Drosophila melanogaster: one gene and its partners. The protein of the gene in region 2 interacts with the protein of the main gene of each other region in a pairwise test. Each region holds a gene or a part of one and is shown on either strand. Other genes may lie near its edges.

Region 1 (6,498 bases), 1.5 Mb from region 2:
AGTTTCTGCTTCATAATAATTTTCTTCTTGAGGCGAACTAGGCTGCCTACAAAGGTAAGCACCTGAACCCGAATCGAAGCGTCGAACTGCTTGTTTCTCGCAATCATCAGACAAAACTCCAGAAGCAGCTTCACATTACCGGTCAGCAAGTGGGGCACATGCTCGGCCATGCTGTCGATGATATCAAAGGCACCCATGAACTCAATACTGTACCCCTTTTCGACAAAGGCGGCCAGGGCCTTGAGTATGAGCGGCACAGCCTTAACCACAATCTGCTCAGCATTACTATGTCCACTTACGAAAGGCAACAAGAAGCATGAACCGGTCAGCATGTTATGCACGGTGGGTGTGGCCATGTTCCCATTCGCCTCGGCGGTAACTAGAATGCCGGCAAGCAATGGGAACATAGTATCCGTGTGGTCCGAAAACTGATCGGGAGCAGCGTCCATGAGCGAGGAAAAGATTGAGCTGCCCCGCTCGCTTTCTATTGGATCGGGGCTGCTGCAACGTTCGTAAATAAACTTCAGTATTTCCTCCCTCCAGGAGTTTTGCTCGCCCTCCTCGTGGCGCACCAGCGATCCAATTATAAAGGCCACCGTGCCCTTCACGGTCTTTTCCTTCACCGCGATGAGGACCTGTAGCATGTTCGATTTGATTCTAAAAAACATGCATCCGTTACTGTATCATAGTCATTAAAAGGTAACCAGTTAACTCACGCTGCCTGGTGCTCGGCGGGAACCAACTGCCAGTGGCGTAACTTTTTGACCCGCCTCTTGAGGAGCACGGCGGCGACCTGCCGCTCTTGGACCGGCCTGTCCGACATCACGATCTGGGTGAGAACCAGCAGAGAATCGGGATTCTCGTAGGCCTTTAGCATCTTGGCTGTGGACTAAGGAAGCGAAAGAAATGGAACTTTATTAGCGACTTTTATGGCCCTATGCTATCATGCTATCAACATAAGTAATTTTTCAATTAGGAAGCGACGAAGTGTGCGTCCATTCGAGCAATGTAATGGTATATCCACGAGTTTAATGCAAATAAAAATATAATATTAATTAATTATTATTAATTATAATTATTTTTATAATTTTTATAATAATTTTTTTTAATAATTATTATAATTATTATTTATATATAAATAATTATTTCTAAAAAAGTGCAATAGTTTTCGGAAGTTTGTTCTGATCAAATAGAACATTAAACATTAAATTAAAAAAAAAAAAAATATTATACACCTATTTTTACAGCTAAGTGTGGATTCAACTTAACTGATCAGACAAACGTGAAGCAGTCAGAAAGGAAAGCATACATGAAAGACATCCATTGGCGCCCAGGATAACCTCCTTTCTTATTGCCGGATGGCCCGCTTTGCTCACCTCACGGATTCGTTCCGTGTCTATGGTCAGGATCCCGTTGATTATATCCAGAATAGCTGCCTCCATTTTTGGGGAGTTACTGTTCGCGCCCAGGCGGATAATCCAATGCAATCCGGTACAAATTGCAGACGACGTTACGCGGTATTGAGAATTGAAAAGTGGAATACCGGGGAGAAATCCCCGTCGCACGTTTTGCGCTTGTTGCAGTTTACAGTTTATCGTAAGCTTATTTTACATTCTACTCTTGAATTGGCTAGCGGTTATCATTGCGGTTTAACGAGTGGGGATGTAACGTAAATTTATCTCGCGCAGTTAATTGGTGACTTGTGTTAACATTTTTCTTTAATATATGTATTTATGTTTTTTTGTTTATTATATATGTGTATTTATGTTTTTTTGTTTATTGTGGAGTTTTGATATATGCGCTAGCAGCAGTGATGCAGTAGAATACTAAAAATATTTACATTTTTGACATTTGATCGACCGGACAAGTAAGCAAAGGCCGCTTCGACACTAGTATGCAGCCCTGGATCTTTTATCATTTATCGACGTCCATTTTTGATCGAAGCGACGCGCCTTTTTTTTGTTTTCGCGTTCGCACTGCAAACTGTAACTGTTTAAGGACAAAGCGGAATGGACAGTAGCAGTGGAAGCCAAGGAAATGGCAGTTTCATGGACCAGAACTCGCTGGGCATCCTGAACATGGACAATCTAAAGGGTAAGCAGGTGGAGCACGCCGGAAATAAGCCGAAGCAGCAAGTAATCCTCATTCCCTACAGTCTTCGGCGACTTGTCCAGCTTCAGCAAAAGTGGAAGGAGGAGCGGCACTGGTCGGGACTCTCCCGCCGTCCACGAGCGGCTCCGAGAAGAACGACTGCGTGCGCTGGAGACACTGGAAAAGCCCCGACCGTCGCGTTCCAGCCAAGCAAAGAGCACTGCCCTCCAGATGCGCTTGTCCACAAACATCTCGGAGCTGGTAACAGACGACACCATCGATCTGAACAGCAGCAGCTCCTTTGCTTTGGTCACGCCCGCCACCAAGGGCACAAACATCTCTTTTGAGCCTGCGGAGATCACCGGCAGGTCCACACTCTGCCAGGCGGGAAAACAGCGCCGCAGGGAGAAGCCATCCCTGTCGGTGGCCGAAATTCTAAAGTCATCCTTCGTTGAGAAGGCTCGCCTGTTGGAAAGGAAGCTGCAGGATGCCAGTCAGGCGGAGGCCAGCTATCACTTATCACGTGGCAGCTCCAGCAGCCTCTCAGATTCATTCAACTGCTCGCGCAGCTTACCGCGCACTGCGGACATGAGTGAACTGAGTCTTAACGGAGGTGGGGGATTTTCCTTTGGATCTGCCTCGTTGGCGGCGGAAGGCCAGGATGAGAGCTTTGCTCCCGCCGAGCTAATGCAGTCCAAATTGGTGCTCGGTGAAATCTCCTGGGCGCAGGAGTTCACGGCCATGCCGACGGCCACGTTGAGCACACAGGCGTTGAAGAAGATTGCCGCACCAACATCCGAGATAGAAACCTCGGTGTCCAAGTAAGCAACATAAAATAGTCTTCCAAATATAATTTGATCAACTTTCAACTTTTATTTACAGTTCTGTCTTGGCCGGAGATCCAGACTTTTCGCTGGGCAACTACTTCCAGACGCGTTCGGAAAATATATGGAACATTGTGAGCAATAGCAGCCCGAATCGTTCGCGAACCAACCAACCGCTATTGGAACCAGAAAGTAACGTGACACTGGATTCGGTTGGCGAGAAGACCCCACAGCCAGACAATAAAACATACACTAAAACGGATGCCATAACTGGCTCGAATCTCGGACGCAATCTTATGCGTAAGATGCAACAGGATCGGATTGAAACTGCGCTAAAGAGCAGGAATGGTCTGGCAGCCAAAGAGACCAAGCGTCCGCCGTCGAGCTCCGAGATCCTAAGTCTCTCCGCGATCGACAAGGCGCTAAGGGACATAGATCTCAATTCGGATACATCCACTGTAGAGGTTGTCAACCACCTGTGGGAGCATGGTCGTGGAAACAATTATGACGATGGGGAAAACAAGGAGAACCAGAGCAGCAACTCCCATGCGGAGCGCACTTCGTGCGGCTCCAACAAGCTTACCGACACCATGAGTTTCACGGACTCTGTGCTAAACTCAACGGATTTTCGTCATTTGCAGCAGAGCATCTCGCGCAAGCCGCTCAGTCCGCTGGCGGACCATCCGCAAATCACCATCAGCCGTGCGGACACCGATCCCGTAGAGACAGAAGCCGAGGCGGACATCGATGAGTGGCCCTCGACGCCGGTAAAGGAGCCTAGCCGCAGAGTGAGACGTACTAAGATTTCTCCAAGAGCCGCAAGTCCGTCGAGTAGCGACGGCGTACGTCCACTGACCTGCACCGAGGATGAAAACGATGAGGAGGACGAGGACAAGACGCCAGTGAACAAGAAGAGGGTTTCGATCGCTACAATGGGCTTGATTCCGCGCAAAGCCTCCTCCTTAAGCAGCACTCGCTTGGATGGTTGTGACGTTGCCGTGGCCTCTTCTACCGAACGTGATTTTGGCATTTCACCGAACCTGGCCAAAAATCTATCGCCCCTGTCCTCGCCAAGAAGCTGTCTCTCGTCGCCGCTGCTGGACAGCACAACCAGTTCCGACCGCCGGCAGCTCATGAGTGGAGCAGCCCGCAAAGCAAACTCCTCGCCCGCAGGTAGTGAGGCCAGTTCCACCAGCGGATTCACAGCGAGTGGAAGACGTGGGTTGGGAACCAGCTCTGTTGCAGTGCCACGTAGTATTTCGCGCTGCTCGAACTCTAGTGAGTTCAGTCATCGCGATGGAAAACTGCTCCCCCTAAAGGTGACCCACACGACCCTCTGTTGGGGAAGCACAAAGCTGCGGACAGATGTGCGTAAGTCCATGCAGGTTAAGAACACAGCGGACAAACGGCTGGTCATTCGGCTTGGCATCCAGGGACCCGGATTCCAGCTGGTGGGCACCGACAGCAGCACGATCACACTCCAAGCCATGGAATGCCGCTCGGTAGTGATCAACTTTTGCCCCACTGTCTGTGGAGCGGCCATCGGAGCCTTGTCTTTCTATGCACCACCAGGAGCGCATAACAGCAACCAGCCGGGCCTAGAGATTCCGTTGTACGGCTACGGGGGCAGTGCGTCCATCACCATAAACGGTCTGCTAAAGGGACCGGTGGGCGCCAGTTTCCTTACCATCGGCGATGTATGCGAGCTGTCCGCTGGTCCGCTTTCGGCGAATCTCAAGTTTCACAACAAGGGCCCTCTCACCGCTTTCGTTGGTATATCAGTGGACTCCACCGTGCTCATGAAACTGCGCCTCAGCGAGGCCTTCGAGGTACGTCCGAGCCGCTTGATATTGCCGCCAAATAGCGAGCGCTGCGTGCAGATACTTTTCCGACCGAATCGTGAGGACTTGAAGAACATACTTAAGAAGACCGCACAGGTGTTGACCCTGGCCAATATGCGGATTTTCTGCGGAGACGAGCCCAACAGACAGCGTATGCGTAGCTTGGTCCAAAGGATGAGCAGCCGACAGCGAGAGAAACTCACATCGCCGATGCTGGACAGCATTTGGGGCGAATTTCCGGACGAGCAGCCAGTGCGCAACATCGGTCAGCTGAACGAACCGCCAGAGTTTATTCTGGACTTGGTCACAGTAGTGCGGATTATTGATGTTGCGCTTACCCTCAATCGGGACTTTGATGAATCGTCTGAGAGTTCCCTGATGTTCCTGCCGGAGGCCGACGAAACCGTGCTATTCCGCACCATATGTGTGGCCAATTCGCCGACGCCAACGCAGAGCCATCTATTGGAGCCAGTGGATGAGCTATTGGAGGCGGACACCACAACGTTGACGCCCGTCGAGCAAAACTGGTGTGTGCAGCCAGGTTTGCTGGAATTCGGAGTGGGCTGTTCGCCACTGGCCACTTTGTCCGTAACCAACAGCTTCTGCTCCAGGCAGCTCATCGAGGTCACATGCAATGTGCCCGATTTGGTGCGAATCAGTCCCAGTGAGTGCTACGTATCCCCGGATGGCGGCCACGCGGAGATCGATGTGCGCCTGCTCCGCTCACCCAGGCAGGATTTGCTCGAAAGGGAGCCGCTCATTGTGGTCTCCATGGAAAACGAGCGCATCAGTGTCCCGATTAGTTTTAAATTTTAAAATTTGTTTTATTTGTGCCTGCTAATTCTGCTTTCCCTATGTTTGTGTAGTTAGTTTAAACAAAAATTGTATTGTGTACTTGTGAAATGAAACCGTGTTTGCAGAGTATTTGTAAGGAAAACGCATAACCCTAAAGTTAAAATACTCGCTTGTTTCCTAAAAGTTGAATTTAGCTTAAATAAAAACTAATAAAGTATATGAGTTAATTTTAAATTTTGATATGTTGCTCTCGAATATTCAAAAAGTAACGTATATGTAGCGATAGTTCGTCGAAAAGTGAGTTGGCGGGCACATTGCAAGGTGCAAGCCGAGTACGGTCACACTGAGGAAAGTGCATCATTTAATTTCCAGCATTTTCCGATGAAAATGGATGCCGACAGCAGTGGAACCCAGCATCGAGGTACCCACTATATAGTATAACCGATCTGATCAGATTCTGATCCAGTGCCATCTTTTTGTTGTTTTTTTTCTAGTGTCATATTGTGTGAAATGTGAAATGGATGAGAATGAACGCTGGACGACCAGACAGAGAAAGAGAAGCTAGGACAATAGGACTCTCAACTGCGCATTACGTGGATTCCGTCTCCGACGATGCGCCAAACACTATGCGTTAGATGCATTGACTAACCGCACACTCTTTTCACATAGATTCCCGTGGCTCAAGGTCTCGATCCCGGCGAGAAAGAGAATACCATGGGCGATCAAGCGAGAGGGACAGCAGAAAGAAGGAGCACAAGATTCCGTACTTTGCAGACGAGGTTCGAGAACAGGATCGGTTGAGAAGATTGCGCCAAAGAGCGCACCAATCCACCAGACGCACTCGCTCCAGATCCAGATCACAGTCGTCCATCAGAGAGAGCAGGCACAGAAGGCATCGCCAGCGCTCTAGGAGCCGCAATCGCAACCGAAGTCGCAGCAGTGAACGA
Region 2 (4,763 bases):
CATACAGTAAATGTCGGCTTACATATATGCAAACTTTTTAAATTTTATTTAAAATATATTTATTGCAATATTTGCTTTAAAAAAAAAAGAGTTATTTCCCATTTATATTAAGTTTAAATTGTAATTTACATACAATTCAAGTCCGTACTGTATTTTGAACGACTGAAAAATATATTTTCCATATTACACATACGCCATGTGGGTCAGGCCGTAACGCTTGACAAAGTTTTCACAATATTAGCGGAAAATGCTTGTGAAAAAGTTATCCAATTCCCGGCCACATGGTGGTTTGAACGTCCTTGAACTTGTCAGGACAAAGACAACAACAACACATTCAGGAAGTACCAGCACAGCGATAAGGATATCGGGATAACAAGTTTGCACCTATAACCATGACAACGGATTTTCTTTGAGTGTGCGTGAAAAACGAAAACGAAAGTCTTTTACATTCCTTGCAAACATTTCAATTTGTTGCTATAGTTTGGACCTCTTTTGTGGGCCGTTGTTTGGGTGTGACACACATTTCAGTTGGATCGTCTGAGGTTTTTGCACTTCGGCGACTAATAACAACAATGCCACTCCCCTTTGGAACGGGAAAAGGGGCGAAGGACCTAGCCCAACGTCTCTGTTAATGGCGCTGACGCCTTTCCTTTGATTTTCCACAAGATATTGTCGATAAACCCTCAATAATGGCACGCATATTGGCGAAAATGATTAAATTAATAGCTTTGCCTGGCGCAGAATTGACAGTGAAATATGTTGGACAAAAATAAATTCGGATTGGAGAAAGGATTTTCTTTTGCGTTGCTATGAAGAAAGGTTATTTCATTTAAAGGGTTTAGTTTAATATAAATTCTTAAACGCTTGCATTTAACATTTTCATATTTTATATAAAAATTTACATATGAACACACAATTTATATGATTGTGAAGTAGATGATGAATTGCTTTATATCCTATACCCGCATTTTATTTGATTTACAAACCAAATCTTTTACAGCATTATTCTTTCAAATAGTAATTCTAATAAATAATATTCAAGAACAATTAAGAATGAGATCGTATCGTAACTAAATTTATAGAAAATATGGTAAATACTGTATAATTTTCTCTAAGTACACTGCAATGCAAAAAAAATCCACTAATTTGGTTCATTATCATGCGGTTTCGAATGATATTAACACACTTTGGCTGGCGAGTGATGCAAATGTCACTGGGCGATGCTAAAGATCACATTGCGGACAATAACTGAACTCACATGCAATTTCCCCATTTCGCTGCCCGCCACTCATTCGATTCAATTCAGCGATGAAGAAGTTATCTCAATTAAATGCAATTTACAATCACTTAAAAAGTCCATATATCGACAATGGCTATTGAGGGTTACATTGTGCAAACTTCTACGTATATGCAAATGTTTCGTAGATTTTTTTAAACAATTTTATGGGATCACAGGCACTGACACTGCACTCTTATCTTTATAGAGCTATAAATGTGCGGAAAACCGAAAAACGACGACGCGACCGCCTGCAGTGCAGGTTCTTTTATAAATAAAACGCCCGAAGAGACATTCAATTGAAATCAGTCACTCAATCCGAGGAAAATCAAAAGAAAAGCGTTGGAAAAGAGCAGCCACGGGAGAGGCCGAGCGATTGAGAGCGAGTGCCGCGGAAATTTGCAACGCGGTTCCAAGCGGTTCCGTGCACCGAATGTTCGCTCCCATTTTTTATTTATAAACAAAATGTGTGTGTGGAACATAAATTTGTTTGGAAGATGGTGATAAATGCAAAAGAGTAGTTTTAAAAGCATTTAGAACTATTGTTTTACGATTCGCGATTGCGATTGATACTGAAGTAGCTATATATATAAGTACTTAGAATTAGTATTATAATCAGAATTAATGTCCCTCAAAAACTGTTATATTTCATTTTTTATAGTTAGTAATTTATAATTATTCTATAATCATCATAAAACATTTTAAGTTAAGTTTAAAAACTTGAAGTTCAAATTTTATTTTAAAATTTGTATACAATAACAATTTAATATAAGAAATTCGAGCCATTAATCATTTCGATGAATATTAAAAATTTTTGATCATTTTCGTATACATTATCCAAAAATTTTCATCGTATTGCGGTACATGTATTAGATTTATTCAGCAACAAGTTGCAGAAACATTCTTTCCTCAACAAAATCGATAAGCGAATCGGTTATTGTAGCGAGACATTTTTTCAAAAATATGAATATTGATGTTTATAATAAACAGGGAAACAGTAGCCAAGATTCACTAATAAATGTATTAGTTATTTAACAAAGCAATTAAAACCGCATAATGTGGACAATTCAATTATAATTTTCACTTAAAAAGTTGCTCTATAATAATAAAAAGTATGCTATTCAATGATATAAAATATAATACTTATTTAAAAAATAAAATATTATTTAAAATTCCTAATCCGTTGGGTATTTTTCACTGTAGATTGTTTACAGATTTCGGAAGGGCCTTGTGGTCTTCTAATCGAAAGTTCAAAGGCGCATTCAATTTCGATTTCATTTGTAAACACACTTGAAAAACAACATGTTCTGTTTGTGGATCGTAATGAATTGAAAACACACATATCAAGGCGCATTCAACCCACATTTTGTGGATTTTATGCACAATCCGAGAGCACAGATGATGGATGTTCGGCTCCCAAATGGGTTAATACTTTAATGGATACCCCTGATTGTTTGGCTTACCCAATCGTATATAGTGTACAGATTCATGGTGACTGCACTTGAACCAAATAATTTATGGCCTATTCCCTGTTTTTTGGCCGCCTTTGTTGACACTTGCGCCTGTCAGTTGGCTATATCTATAGGCATTCTAGATGTGGCCCAAATGCGATCCATTTTCTTGTTGATGTTTTTACGTAGTGGTTTTGATGACACTATATTTTAGAATTTTTTCGGGTTGACTTGCTTACAAACACAGACGAATGCAACGAACCGAATAATTTTGTAGGTTAGGTTGGAGACTTTACGTAAAATTTGATATTTTTTTAATTTAAAGTTTAACACGAAGACAACACAATGGGGGAAACTAGCTACTTAAAGCGTGAACTCTTAATTTATCATTATGTGATTTTCAATGCTCCTCGAGGGAGAAAGAACCGACAAATTTGAAACTTAAAAACAAAAAAAAACCAATAGTGCAACCGATCTGAAACAGTTGCACGTAATAGCGAGCGCGATGCAACTGAGAACCAAATCCATTGCGAAGAGTCTTTATATTTTTGGGGTATCGGGGGATATCCACGCTCTTTTTCTCCCCATCCAGATACTGTAATGCTCAGTGAAGCACAACAAGAGATTGTTTAAAAATAATCAATCGTAAACAAAATTTGTTGCAGTGGCATTGAGTTGGGGAGAGTCCAAAAGAGAGAATTCAATGTACTACTACCAGATCGCGAGAGAAACAAAGAGAAATCCGAGAGATAAAGGGGAGGAAAGTAATTAAGTTTTATCGGTTGTTCTATAAATAAGTTTTAACCAGAGATTAAGGAACTACAAGATATATTCGATAAGGAATGATTTAAGGAAGTGAGAACACATTTATGGGTATAAATGAGACATTTATTTATAGGCTAGGGAAATATAAAGCTTTCTTTTCATTTCAATTATTCAAAAAATCTGAAATGCTACAAGAGCATTAATAATGTTTTGAGAAAAATATTGGAAGTTCAACGAAATATTTGAATGCTTAAATATCAATAAAAACGCACTCGCATATATTTTAATATAAAATATTTATTTTTATCTATTTGTTATTGCTTGTCGGTAGTTAGTCTTAAGAAAACTCGGTGAATATATCAGTATCCAATCGGTATATTCATATAAAAATATCATTCGATTAGGGTAAATATCCTTTATACACTTATTAGTTAGCTAGTCAGTTATTTGTTTATAAATGCTGTTAACTATATAAAATATTTCCATATTTTCTAGGCATCCTGTTGTAAGGCGATTTCTGTCCCCCTCGGGGATAATATTGTCCTGTGTTTTTTGTACTTTAAAAATTCAATACAAAATTTGAATGTCGTTCGATAAATTGCTTTCAATACGTCAGTTTTCAATTTGGCAGATCTTTTGAGCATTGTTATTTTCTTGATCCTAAATAATTTGGCTAACGAACTTAAAATTCGAAAGGAGTCCAATAGTTTGAGCTGCTTTTGCTTTGTAGTTTCTCAGTGCTACAAAATTAGTTTAGTTAATCACATTAAAAGGTGAAAGTGCATGAGAATTCCGTACAACCTTATAGGTCAATTAGGATTTCCGCCCTCCTTTTGCTTAAACTTGGTGGAGTATTTGTAGAAATCGGACATCTCGAAGGGTTTCGTCACTTCCTTGTACGGCTGGAAAGTGGCCTGCTGAACTACGGTCATGTTTTTGGGCGACTCGATGCGAATTTCCGGCGATAAACTGGCTGTGGCCACTGTTACTGGCGGTGACACAAGCGCTGTTTGGACAGCATTCCCATGAGCAAGTCCGCTTGAACTGCCATTACCACTGTGACTTAGGTTCTGGTTCTGAGTATGAGCCTGATTTGCGGGTGGCGGTCTGGGCGGCGGCGTTGGCTGCTGCATTTGACTTGGCTTGGGTGGTAAGTTTCGCAGTGCTGGTATGTCCAGAGGTTCCAGCGGATACGATACCGATATCCCCAAAGTTTGCTCCATTGCATTGAGATACGAAGTCGATTGACTTAGCAGGGCTTTCGAACTGGT
Region 3 (5,163 bases), about 13 Mb from region 2:
TGTGAATCCCAATGGCAAGTCCATTTTGAGGCTGCACTCAGTGAACGCGCGGTATGTGCAGCACCTGGTGCACGAGGATCGTATCCTGGCCGTGTGCTACTCCTACATCAAGGAAGGAGTGGGTGTCAACGTGATAGCCACTGCTGTGGAGGGAGGATTCGTGCGCTTCTGGTCCAGCTGGAACCTGAGCTTCGTCAGTGAGCTGACCACGGGTACATCGCCCATTCGTAGGTAAGAGAGAAGTGGCTCCATATTCGAATAAAATACAATCTAATCCCTGCTTAACTTGCAGCATTTGCTACTCAACCCATCAGCATTTGGTGGTGCTAACGCGAGAGTCCCATATCCAAGTCTGGGAATCAGAGGGGCTCTATGGAAATGCCCCGAAATTCCCTCAAATCGTCTACAAATAATGTTAATGGGAAAATACTCAATAATTCAACTCAAAGCATATCAATGACAGACACATAAACGATCTAAGAAACAGCTGAATCAAAGAATAAATCCTTTTAAAAGATATAAAATACAACATTCGCTGGCGACAGCCACAAAATTAATATATCACAAGATTCCTAGGCTTAGGTCTCATAGAGCTGTAAAATACACCTTTTGTACCAAAACTTTATATTATTATTACATTTAAAATTTTCACCTTTGTTTTTCCCGTGCTGCATACAAATGCCACGCTGCCTTCAATTGTTGATATTATCAAATAAACAATCATATTTTGCAAAAACTAAACTATTTACTTTCAGAATTCCATAGAAAAATATACAACTACAATGTCCATTGTAGCGGCCATTCAAAGAGGCAGTCATTCTTAAAAAACTACAGGTATTACTAGATAGAATATTACTTGTCGAAAGCATCTCTCGTTGTCAGCACTTCCAAGGTGGAGGCTTACTGTTGCCACTTCCGCTCTTTGGTTTGCTTTGTTTGCTACCCTGTTTGGATGTCATGGCCAAGATCTCGTCGAGCCTGTCGAAATCACTGGGCGACTTGCTGAGCAGCAGTTCAATGTAGGCCTGCAGCTTGTCCATCGGCGAGGGGGGATCCCGTTTGCCCACCACATCCAGGTTATTCTTCTCAGTGTTGTTGCTGCGCTGCGATTTGCTCGATTTGGGCGTTTCTGGATACATGCGTGCATTATTTAGCTCCGGAGATTCACTGGCTTCAGTGTCACTGGATTGGATAATGGAGTTTTGACTAGGAGTGGTGAGGATAGCAAGGGCCTGCTGCCACTGGGCCTCCATTACCCCATGCAGTTTCTCCGCAATATCAGCACTGGAATGGAAAAAAAAACCATTTCTATTTAAACCAGAAAACAAATAAGGCTCTCATATCTTACCGCTTTGTTTTGTAACAGCTGAGCTTGAGATCCATTTCATCGATCTTCTTCGAGGCATTCGCTAGTTGAAGGCGGTACAGCTCCACCTCCTCGTTGTGCTTTTCCTGGATGAGATTCAATTCCTGGTTGTTTTTCTCATTGATCATTTCAAGCTGCTTTACTGCCCGCTCGGCTATGAGTCGTTCACGCTCCCGAGCTTCGTTCTTTAAATGCTCCTCATTCTTGTCCAGTTGGTCCTGGAACTCCTGCATCTTCTTGGCCACAACATTTTCCATTTGCTGTTGGTAGTATTGCTTTAGGGATTTCTGCTGTATATCTAGCTTCTTCTTGAGATTGGTCTGCAAAACAACAATCATTTATTATTGAGTTCTTTTTTTTTTTGTATTTATTTTTAAATAACCTCAGTTTCAGTTAGGTTCGCCAGAGTTTCTTGTAGGGATTTACGATGGCTCTCCAAGGAATCCGCTCTTGCTTTCTGCTTCTGATGATATTCTTGCAGCATTTCCTTTTGATTGGTCAGCGTGTTATTTTCCTTCTCCAGTTCCTCTATCCGCGCTTTTAGCTTATATATAAGAAATGTGGTTAAAGTGGCCGTGGTTGAAATCTTATTTTTAAATTACCTTTTCTTGTTGGTAGTCTACCTTGGCAAACTTATCCCTTAGCTTATTCAGCTCGGCATGTGACAGCTCCTCCGCTCTTTTGCTGCTGTTGAGTTGCATTTCCAGTTGCTCCAGTCTTTCTTCCCATTGCTTGGCGTCTTGCCTGCAATGGTCCAACTCCCTTTCGAGTTTATCATTCTTTTCCTGAAACCTGGTGGCCAAGTTGACCGCCTGCGACAACTCGTTCTGCAGTGCATCAAACCGGCTCTGGGATTCGCCCCTGTCCGCTTCCAGCCGGTGGACAGCGTCCCGCAGGTGCTGAACCTCGTAGTTGAGACTTTGAACTGTTTGCTCTGCCTCGGTGAGAGCAGCATCCTTCGAACGATCCACCTCGATGGCCACTGAGATTCGCTGCTGGTACTCCAAAAGATGCGACTGCAGTGTGTGCACCATTTTCTCCAGATGCTGCCTTCTGAGTTGTTCCTCTTTTAGGGAAGAGCTGCACAGTGGTCGGTTGGGCGAGTTGTTGTCGAGTACAGTTTTGGTCAAGCTGCTCTTGCCCCAGAGCTCGCTCAGACTTATGATCTTGTTCTCATTCAGGCTGCTTCGATCGACCCTGGCTGCTTCGACAGAAACGGCGCCGGAGGATGATGAGGCCAGCCTCATGCTGGGCAGAGACGAGGTTCCCGGATGACCCTCTTTCCCCGCCCGCTCGTTCCTCAGATGATCGTCGCTGCGGTGATGCAGGTGGTGATCGTGCCTCTGCCAACGGTGCGCATTATTGTCGTCTAGGTAGTGGTCGATTTCGAGCAGAATGTTGTCGTCCAGTGGTCGATGGCGGAGGGGCTCAACGGACCCACTCTTCGGCGTGGAGTGCACCATGCCGTGGAGCTCCCTACTTGGCCTTCCAGCGTTCCTTACAGTATTCGTGGATATGGTGGAAATGTCCGAGGGAGGCTCCTCCGCATCCAGTGCGATGTTCTGCAGCCGGGAATTGATGCTATTCAGCTCCGATTTCTTGCTGGGATGTAGGAACTGGTACGCTGCACTTGTGGTCGCCGGGGGAGGGGGCGGGGGCATGGCCAACGCATCTGCCGCCGCGCATGCGCTCATTTTGTCCTCCGCGCAGAAGTTCGGTGGTATCAGGAGCAGCAGATCGGTGTCGTCCGTATCGGTATCACTCATGCCTCATGGTTAACTGTATTAATAGTATGCTTATAGTACAATAATTGTTGTTTCAAAACAAAAGTGAAACTAACCACCGATTGCCATGGTGATGCACAGGGTTGCCAGGTGCACGTGGCAATGCAGGATTATCGAAAACAATGGACTATCGGTATATCACTATTCAGTGTGTCAAAACAAAAACTAAAGCTCGATATTCTAGTCTTCACAAGGCACTATATAATTTTAAAAATAATATACGTTGTTAGTCTTATTTTGCCTTTTGGCATATCTGTTGTAATTAACACTACCGTATATATCGCCTGTTTTTGGCGCCCATTTCAAGTGTGACCGTTCAGTGCGTTTGTTGTTTCCATTTATTGTCTTGTTTTTTTTTTTCGTCCTTCAGTTTTGAAGGAACTGCCGCCAGGATGGCAGATGTAAGCCTGTTTTTTGGCGGTTTGCCGGCCATTCTTCTGAAAGCGGATACCATTTACCGCATTGGGAGGCAGAAGGGCCTGGAAATAAGCATCGCCGATGAGGTAAATTGGCCCTTACTTAAACATTTCCCCTTTAATAACTCCTATCCTCAATGGGCAGTCAATGGAGCTGGCCCACGCCACAGCCTGCATACTGCGCCGAGGTGTGGTGCGCCTGGCTGCCCTGGTGGGCAAGATCTTTGTGAACGACCAGGAGGAGACCGTGGTGGACATCGGCATGGAGAACGCCGTGGCCGGCAAGGTGAAACTCCGCTTTGGCAATGTGGAGGCCAGGCTAGAGTTTGGAGAAGATCACGATGAGGTATGGGCACCAAATACCATTCTTACAGGATGCATAACTTAATGCTTACCCTTCGTTCAGGTCCACGACAGTAGCGGATTCGGGGAATGCCTGAAGAACGGATTAAACAACACAACCTTGGACAGCATGGATGTTCCGGAAACACAGCCTCCATCCGCCAACACATCAGTCAACACAACGGCAGATAGCTTATTTATACCCGAGACCCAAGCGGTGTTATGCGAAAGGCCTTCGACCGGACAAAGAGTGTCGCTGGGCGATGACTTCATGATACCCGAAACGCAGGATATGCTTGCGGATCTTCCACCTGAACCACCAGTGTTTAAACCCCCGGTTATTCCCGTAGTTGATAAGCCAGGTCCGACGATAGACAGCGATGAGGAATCATCTCAGGGCAGCATTATACGCATGTGCACCCAGGATTATAATGAGGATGCCATCGATGACTTCGATACCTCACAGGTACTCTGCGATGTTCTGCTGCCTCTTCCGCCGCCAACAGCACCAATTGAAGGTCTGGAAAATCAGGATACTAAGCGGGGTATGTGCATCCATTGAAACTGATAACTTTCAATAATGTGCGCTTTCTTCTTAGATCAACTGGACACCACCGACATGGAAATGAGTGCCTTGAACTGGTCGGCTAGCAATTCCAAATGCTGTGCTCTGAGTAGCACCAAAGCGGATGATATATTGCCGCGTGGCGATGCCTGCATTACTCCCGATTTGACCGCTCCGTCCGTAGATAGAAATATCTGCACACCCGATCTATTTGACCTGATCATGGGGGGGGATAGGAGGCGCGATGGCTCCAGCAGTCCAGATCCGTTCGTTCGTCCTGCGGACAATACAAATACCGCCACACCGCAGTTTGGCGGAGTTAAACAGCTGGTTGTGGCGACGATTGAGACCCCCACTGCCACTCCTGACACGAATAGTCAGGAAAAGAATCAAGATATGATAGCCACTCAACGATTTCCACGACATAAATTGTTGGAAAGTGACGAGGAAGACAATGGGCAAAACAACCAAGACTTCGTGGCTACTCAGGCGTTTAACTTAGGACGTCCGCAGGCACCACAAGAAAATGAAGCCAATCAAGATCTCATAGCGACACAGGCATTTAACTTGGCACCGCCACAAAAAGTTGATTCACCTAAACCCTCTACAGCTAATGATGCTTCCAACCAAGATTTTATAGAAACTCAGGCATTTAACTTAGGAATCCCACAAGCAAACATGGCTTCACCA
Region 4 (5,815 bases), on a different chromosome or scaffold from region 2:
TGGAAGCGGCTCGTCTGGGAGCGGAGCGGGCGGCGAGCATCTGAACGATAATTCCAGCAACGATAAACTTGTAAAGAGCGGCGTGCAAACTTCGCCAGATGGTGAGTGCTGGAACACTTCTCACAACATGTGAGAGAGCTATTTTTGACCTTTTGATCATTTGGAGCTTTGAATTGAACACTCTATGGATGATTGATACCATTTAATCAATGGATTTCTTGGTTTCTATTATTATTTGTTTCATATTATAATTCGGTGATTTCGGTGTACATCACAAAAGCCCAACAGCTATACTATCCTTGACCCATTTTATCCAGAAATAATAGTACCATGAAATATTTTATTTATTTAAAAATGTAACAAATTTACCTTTCGTTCGTTTTGCATAAATAGGGAAGGTCACAAACATACCAGCGACCATGGTGAACAACCAGTTCGGCATGGTTGGCCTGCTGACGTTCATTCGGGCTGCAGAAACGGATCCCAATCTGGTGACGCTCTCCTTGGGTACGGATCTCACGGGTTTAGGCCTGAACCTGAACTCGCAGGAGAGCTTGCATACAACCTTCGCTGGCCCCTTCGTAGCACAGCCCTGCAGGTCAGTTTACATAATAAACTTACATAATTTAATTGCTTATTGAGTACTATTGAGTAAGAGGTGTACCAAATTAGTAACATTGGATTTGCATTTACTTTTTTCAGAGCACAAGACGTTGAGTTCAACGTGCCACCCGAATATCTGATTAACTTTGCGATAAGAGACAAACTAACAGCGCCGGTACTGAAAAAGCTGCAAGAAGACCTGCTCTTTTTCCTTTTTTACACGAACATCGGCGATATGATGCAATTGATGGCAGCTGCTGAATTGTGAGTACTTCCTCTTGCGTAGCTATTATCTAAGCTTCGTATGAACATATATAGAACATACATATATACTAAAATTCTGCTCCCATCGCAGGCATAGTCGCGAGTGGCGATACCACGTGGAGGAGAAAATATGGATAACTCGAATTCCTGGCATTGATCAATATGAAAAAAATGGTACAAAAGAGCGCGGCACCTTCTACTACTTTGATGCGCAAAGTTGGAAACGTTTGTCCAAGGTTTTCCAAATAGATCCCGAGAAATTAGATAAATGTCCCAATATAAGTGCGTTTATGAATGGACAGTCTGTATAAAATTAATAAAAATGAAAAAAATTGAAAAAGAAAGTATGCTGTTGTTTTTGCATTGCAACAAGGACACTCAACACTAACTGAATAATAAGTTTTATTATAAAAATTAAAAACAATCCATTTGAGTTTTTCTTCTAAAACGGTGTTAGGATATATATACATACATATATGCATATGTATGTATGTGCAAATTCTGGTACAAATTGCCGGTTAACAATTTAAAGCGATTTATTTTTATCCTGCTGGAGTCTAGTTGGTATTCATATTTTTAGAATATCTTTGAAATGTAACATTTTTTAGCTGTTCGATATTATGAAATGAGCGGACTCCCATTAAATTAAAAAGCAAGTTATATTTTTTCGATTCGTTGAAATGTATTTGAAAGGTAGAAGAAATTCTTTCTATAAAGTGATCCTATAAAAAATTACTGGCCGTGTCTGAAAATACATACCTGTCATCTGGACTAACACGACATACATATGTATGTATATTCCAATAGCAAATCTACTGCATTCTGCAATGCACAACAGCTCCCCCTATCAATGATACGACGGAACCATAGTTGGCATGATAATACATACATACAATATCATCTTCAAGCTTGTGTATGCCTGGCAGGTCTATTGTCGGGGCCACAATCTTTTCGACATATCGGCAACTTTTTGGGAAAATATTTATTTTTAAATTTAACAATTACAGTTTATGTACAAGTATAGAATAAAAACCTAATTCCCTTCTAGACTGTATGTAGTGTGAACGCAATGTTTTCGCTACAGAAGCGCTTACTGCACTTAACAGCACGCGTTACTATGTTAATGTCAAAGTGTCAACAGAAGCAAGAGGAAGAAAATTAGAGTTGCCTACGAAAATAGCGCCTGCGCCTCGGAATTTATTTGAATTTGATGCTTGTGGCGTCCCCTTAGCCGAATATGAACACGCCAGGTATAAGCCTCTTTCAGGGGGCGGATGCCCTTAACATAAATTCTACACTGGACCGGCAGGAGGAGGAAGAGGCGCTGCAGGATCAGAAACGACGCGAGGAAGAGGTAAGCGATCTGGGAATTCCTGGTAAACAATGTCACCGATTCCAATTCTACGCAAGCTTGGACGGATTATGGTGAATGCCTTCGACGATCTGCTCGATGAAGAGAACACAATCGACTCGACGACGAATTACCAGTCGGAACTGGAACAGCCGCCAGTTCTACCCAACTACCCATCACATCCGCACCATAAACCGCTGCAGGACGATGCTCAGCGAGCCAACGAGATCGAGATGCATCGCCTCCAGATCCTGCTGGAGTCTAAGAATAATGAGCTGCAGAATGTCAACCAGGTGGCCAACGCTGCGCACAAAAAACTGGATGACTTACAAAAGCACCTATCCATCATGCAGGCTGAGCTAGACCGCGCCATTCGCGAGAAGCAGAACACTCACGAGCTGTTGGTGGAGACCAAAGAGACGTGCTCCAATAAGGACAGCGATCTGGACAAGCTGCGGTCGGAAAAGAAGCAGTTGGAAGAAGATAACACGCGATTAGTTGGTCAATTAGAGGCCGCCAAGACCTTGCTTACGGACGTCCAAAGCAAATACGACATGGTGCAGGCCAGTAAGCAGAAGTGGGAGGAGCGGAACGCCGACCTACGTTTAAAGCAAATGGAGGAAGCGCACCGAGCCCAGTCCGATCTTTTGCAGCAGCAACTCTGTCAGATGAAGGATCAGCTTGATCGCAAGCAAAATGAGTTGGATCAGATAAACTCGCGCTACAATGCTCTGCAGTCTGGTCACGAAACAATGCTCGTAGATAAGGCTGCCAAGATTAACGAGCTCAGTCAAGCTTTGGATGAGGCCCAAATGCGCTGCAACCAACTAAGTGCAAGACCCGATTTGCAGGCTGAAAATCGTCGGCAGCAACAGTGCATCGTTGACTTGAAAGCCCGCATTGCCTATTTGGAGCAAACAGTCGCTTCGCTCCATGAGCGCCTAAACGAAACCACCACGGAACTTGACCTGATAGATTCGGTTATTCAACAGCATCAGGCGGACGAATCGCCTACTAGTCGGCTAAGTCAAATGGGTGGATCGCGCCTTGTTGGTAGCACACCGCTGAATCCTCTAGACAGAGTCGGTCACATTAAGCAGGAGTTGTATCGAGCTCTGGGCAACCTGAAGAACAAGCGGGAAGAAGTGCGACGCCTAGAGAAGCTCCTGGAGGAACGCAACCAGGAACTGCGCGTGCTGCGCGACCAGGAGAACCAATCCCTGGTTCAGCTGGAAACCCTAAACGAAGGCAAAATGCGGTTGGAAAACAAAGTGAAGGCAATGCAGCAGGAGTTGGAAGAGCAAAAACACAGATCACAGCAGGAGTCAGATGTGCACTCACAGCTGAATTCCATTGTGGCCGAGAGGGATGCACTAAGGGAAAAACGGCAGCAGATTGAAGAAGATCTGGAGCAACTAAAGCAGCAGAACGAGAGCCTTCAAAGAAATTACGATCAGCTTTCGCAGGAAAATCGGCAGTTGCGAACTCGAGAAACTGCAGACAACCTGCGCTTGGAGCTGGAACGCCACAAGATTCTGTTGAGGGATTCCCAGAGCGAGGTCGAGCGGCTTAAGAAACTCTATTCTGACATCGCCACAGACAAAGAGTCATTAGGCTATGAATTGAGAAAGCTGAGAGAATCGGACACGCTTAAGGAGTTGCAGGATCAACGCCAAAACTTGGCCACTGTTCAGCGAAACTTGCAGCTGGCGGAGATGAAATCAGAGGAGCTAAAAAAGCTTCTGGAAACGGAGAAACTCAGCCACGAACGTGATCTGCAGGCCTTGCGCCAAAGGAGCGAGCGGGAAAAGCGCGAAGAAGCAGTTGCGGTGGCCAAAGAAAGTTCCGAAAACTGCAGCAAGTGCATTGAAAGCATAGCAGAAATTACCAAGGTAAGCGATAACCTTTCAGACATGCTAGTAAACTAAATAATCTTATATATCACCACGGTTTTTAGGCGGAAATTCAGTTGTTGAAACTCCAGAATGTGAACTCAATGCAGGCCAAGGAACTGAAAGAATTGGAACACGCGCTGGAGCAGTCTAAAAATTTGCAAGCCGAGATGCAGGAAAAGATCGAGCTTTCAAACAAGCAGGACGAGCTCATTAGCGATCTTAAGGAGAGGGCCAAGCAATTCGAGGCGTACATTAGGCAGCAAGAGGAGCATAAGCAGCAGAATAAGTGTACGCCCAGTCCGAAATCAAACTCAGTTTCCCCGTCTGATCCATCGCCCAAAGAGCTCACCCAGAATCGGATAAGGTTGATCGAACAACGTGTTCGTGATGAGATGGCCAAACTTTTTGCAGCAGAACTCAAGAGGTTTACTAACCGGCTGCAAAAATCTGAGGAGAGGAGCCAGTGCCTCCAAAGGGAATACCAAACGGTGTGTGCAGAGCTGCAACAGCGGCAAACGGAGGTGGATCTTCTAAAGCAAACTATCCTGGCAGAACGCGAGAATATCGATGAAATTCTGGCCGGCAGGGAAGAAAAGCAAAAGGAAATGCTGCAGAAGTGCCGCCAGGAGCTGCAAGCGAAGAACCAGCGAATTGCCGAACTGCTCCGAGAAGTGGAGGAGCAGCACGCCAGCATCGACTCCGAAAGGCAATCTATGAAGGCTGTGATGGCTCAGTGGGAGAAACAGCGCCAGTCAGTCGACCAGGTGGAACACCACTGGCGCCAGCAGCTGGAAAGCTTGCGTTCCACCCACGAAGAGGCGATGCGATCCGCACAGCAGCGATATCAAAGTGCCAAGCGTACCGCCCACAATTACAAGTTGTATGCCGAGGACAAGGAGGCGCACATGAAACGCGAGTATGAGCGCATTAAGCACGAGTACGAGCTATCACTCGCCAAGATCGAGGCGACCATGAACCAGCACCTGGAGCGGCGGAGTCGGGAGAAGCACCGCGACAAAGAGAACGTGCCCAGCAATAGCAGCAGCGACCCAATCACCAACTCAAATAGAAAGCCCAAAGGCAATGGTCACAGCTAAGACTTAGGAAAATATATATATGTATATGTAGGTCTCTTTAGTGGGATATCGTTACTGCATGCACTGCCAAATTGTCTAAACAAATAAAAGTCGCTGTACATTCCTAACAAAATTGTGCTTATAAAAATCAGCTAAAAAAGTGAAAGTTTATCATTAATATTAAAAAATAGGTTTTTTATTTGATTGTTGTTTCTAGTAGGCTCATAATTTTTTCATTTTTAGTTTGAAAAATCTGGTTCCAGCACTTGTTGAAAATGTCGAAGAATTTGTCAATCTCCTCTCGGGTTATTCCAATTCCTGCCGCTACAGTCAGGTACGGAACTTGCAGGTTGCTGCGGTGGGAGCCGAAATCTAAGCGAAATATTCTAAATTTTAGTCGGAAAACAAAGACGATAGTGAATATTACTTGCCTAGAAACTCATGCCCGTCTATAGTTTTATTTTGGCCAGGAACTATCACTCTTGCTCCGGAAACTCCACGCATGTGTAGCATGGAGCCAAGCTTGGTGATGCTCTTCATCTGATCCCCAGCCAAAGTGGCCAATGTTATGGCCAAGGATATGGAGTTAAACCTGCTGTCTATAACAATCTCTCCGCGTGGCTCTG

The links.
Region 1: the proteins of Plp (region 2) and spd-2 interact in a two-hybrid assay, tested with the Drosophila melanogaster proteins (2 studies listed by BioGRID).
Region 3: the proteins of Plp (region 2) and Cnb interact in a two-hybrid assay, tested with the Drosophila melanogaster proteins (one study listed by BioGRID).
Region 4: the proteins of Plp (region 2) and asl interact in a two-hybrid assay, tested with the Drosophila melanogaster proteins (2 studies listed by BioGRID).

Annotation. Positions count from the first base shown.
Region 1 is NT_037436.4:16,590,478-16,596,975, reverse strand, and holds spd-2 (spindle defective 2), read left to right. Parts: upstream 1-1,961; 5' UTR 1,962-2,009; coding exon 2,010-2,094; intron 2,095-2,155; coding exon 2,156-2,912; intron 2,913-2,973; coding exon 2,974-5,572; 3' UTR 5,573-5,769; downstream 5,770-6,498. Other genes in the region: Apl (apollo), read right to left, coding at 1-657, 717-889, 1,377-1,442; tra (transformer), read left to right, coding at 5,933-5,972, 6,221-6,498.
Region 2 is NT_037436.4:15,087,053-15,091,815, forward strand, and holds the start of Plp (Pericentrin-like protein), read right to left. Parts: upstream 3,142-4,763; 5' UTR 2,767-3,141; coding exon 2,740-2,766; intron 1,502-2,739; exon of another isoform or gene 1,274-1,501; coding exon of another isoform or gene 1,259-1,273; intron 1-1,258. Other genes in the region: sstn (stepping stone), read right to left, coding at 4,302-4,763.
Region 3 is NT_037436.4:1,945,829-1,950,991, reverse strand, and holds Cnb (centrobin), read right to left. Parts: upstream 3,428-5,163; 5' UTR 3,207-3,427; intron 3,146-3,206; 5' UTR 3,133-3,145; coding exon 1,969-3,132; intron 1,911-1,968; coding exon 1,749-1,910; intron 1,687-1,748; coding exon 1,349-1,686; intron 1,285-1,348; coding exon 879-1,284; 3' UTR 730-878; downstream 1-729. Other genes in the region: mv (mauve), read left to right, coding at 1-231, 293-413; mu2 (mutator 2), read left to right, coding at 3,543-3,653, 3,712-3,912, 3,973-4,453, 4,508-5,163.
Region 4 is NT_033777.3:5,602,736-5,608,550, reverse strand, and holds asl (asterless), read left to right. Parts: upstream 1-2,007; 5' UTR 2,008-2,104; coding exon 2,105-2,221; intron 2,222-2,277; coding exon 2,278-4,110; intron 4,111-4,175; coding exon 4,176-5,210; 3' UTR 5,211-5,315; downstream 5,316-5,815. Other genes in the region: Rga (regena), read left to right, coding at 1-101, 394-598, 703-867, 959-1,178; SecS (Sec synthetase), read right to left, coding at 5,386-5,561, 5,621-5,815.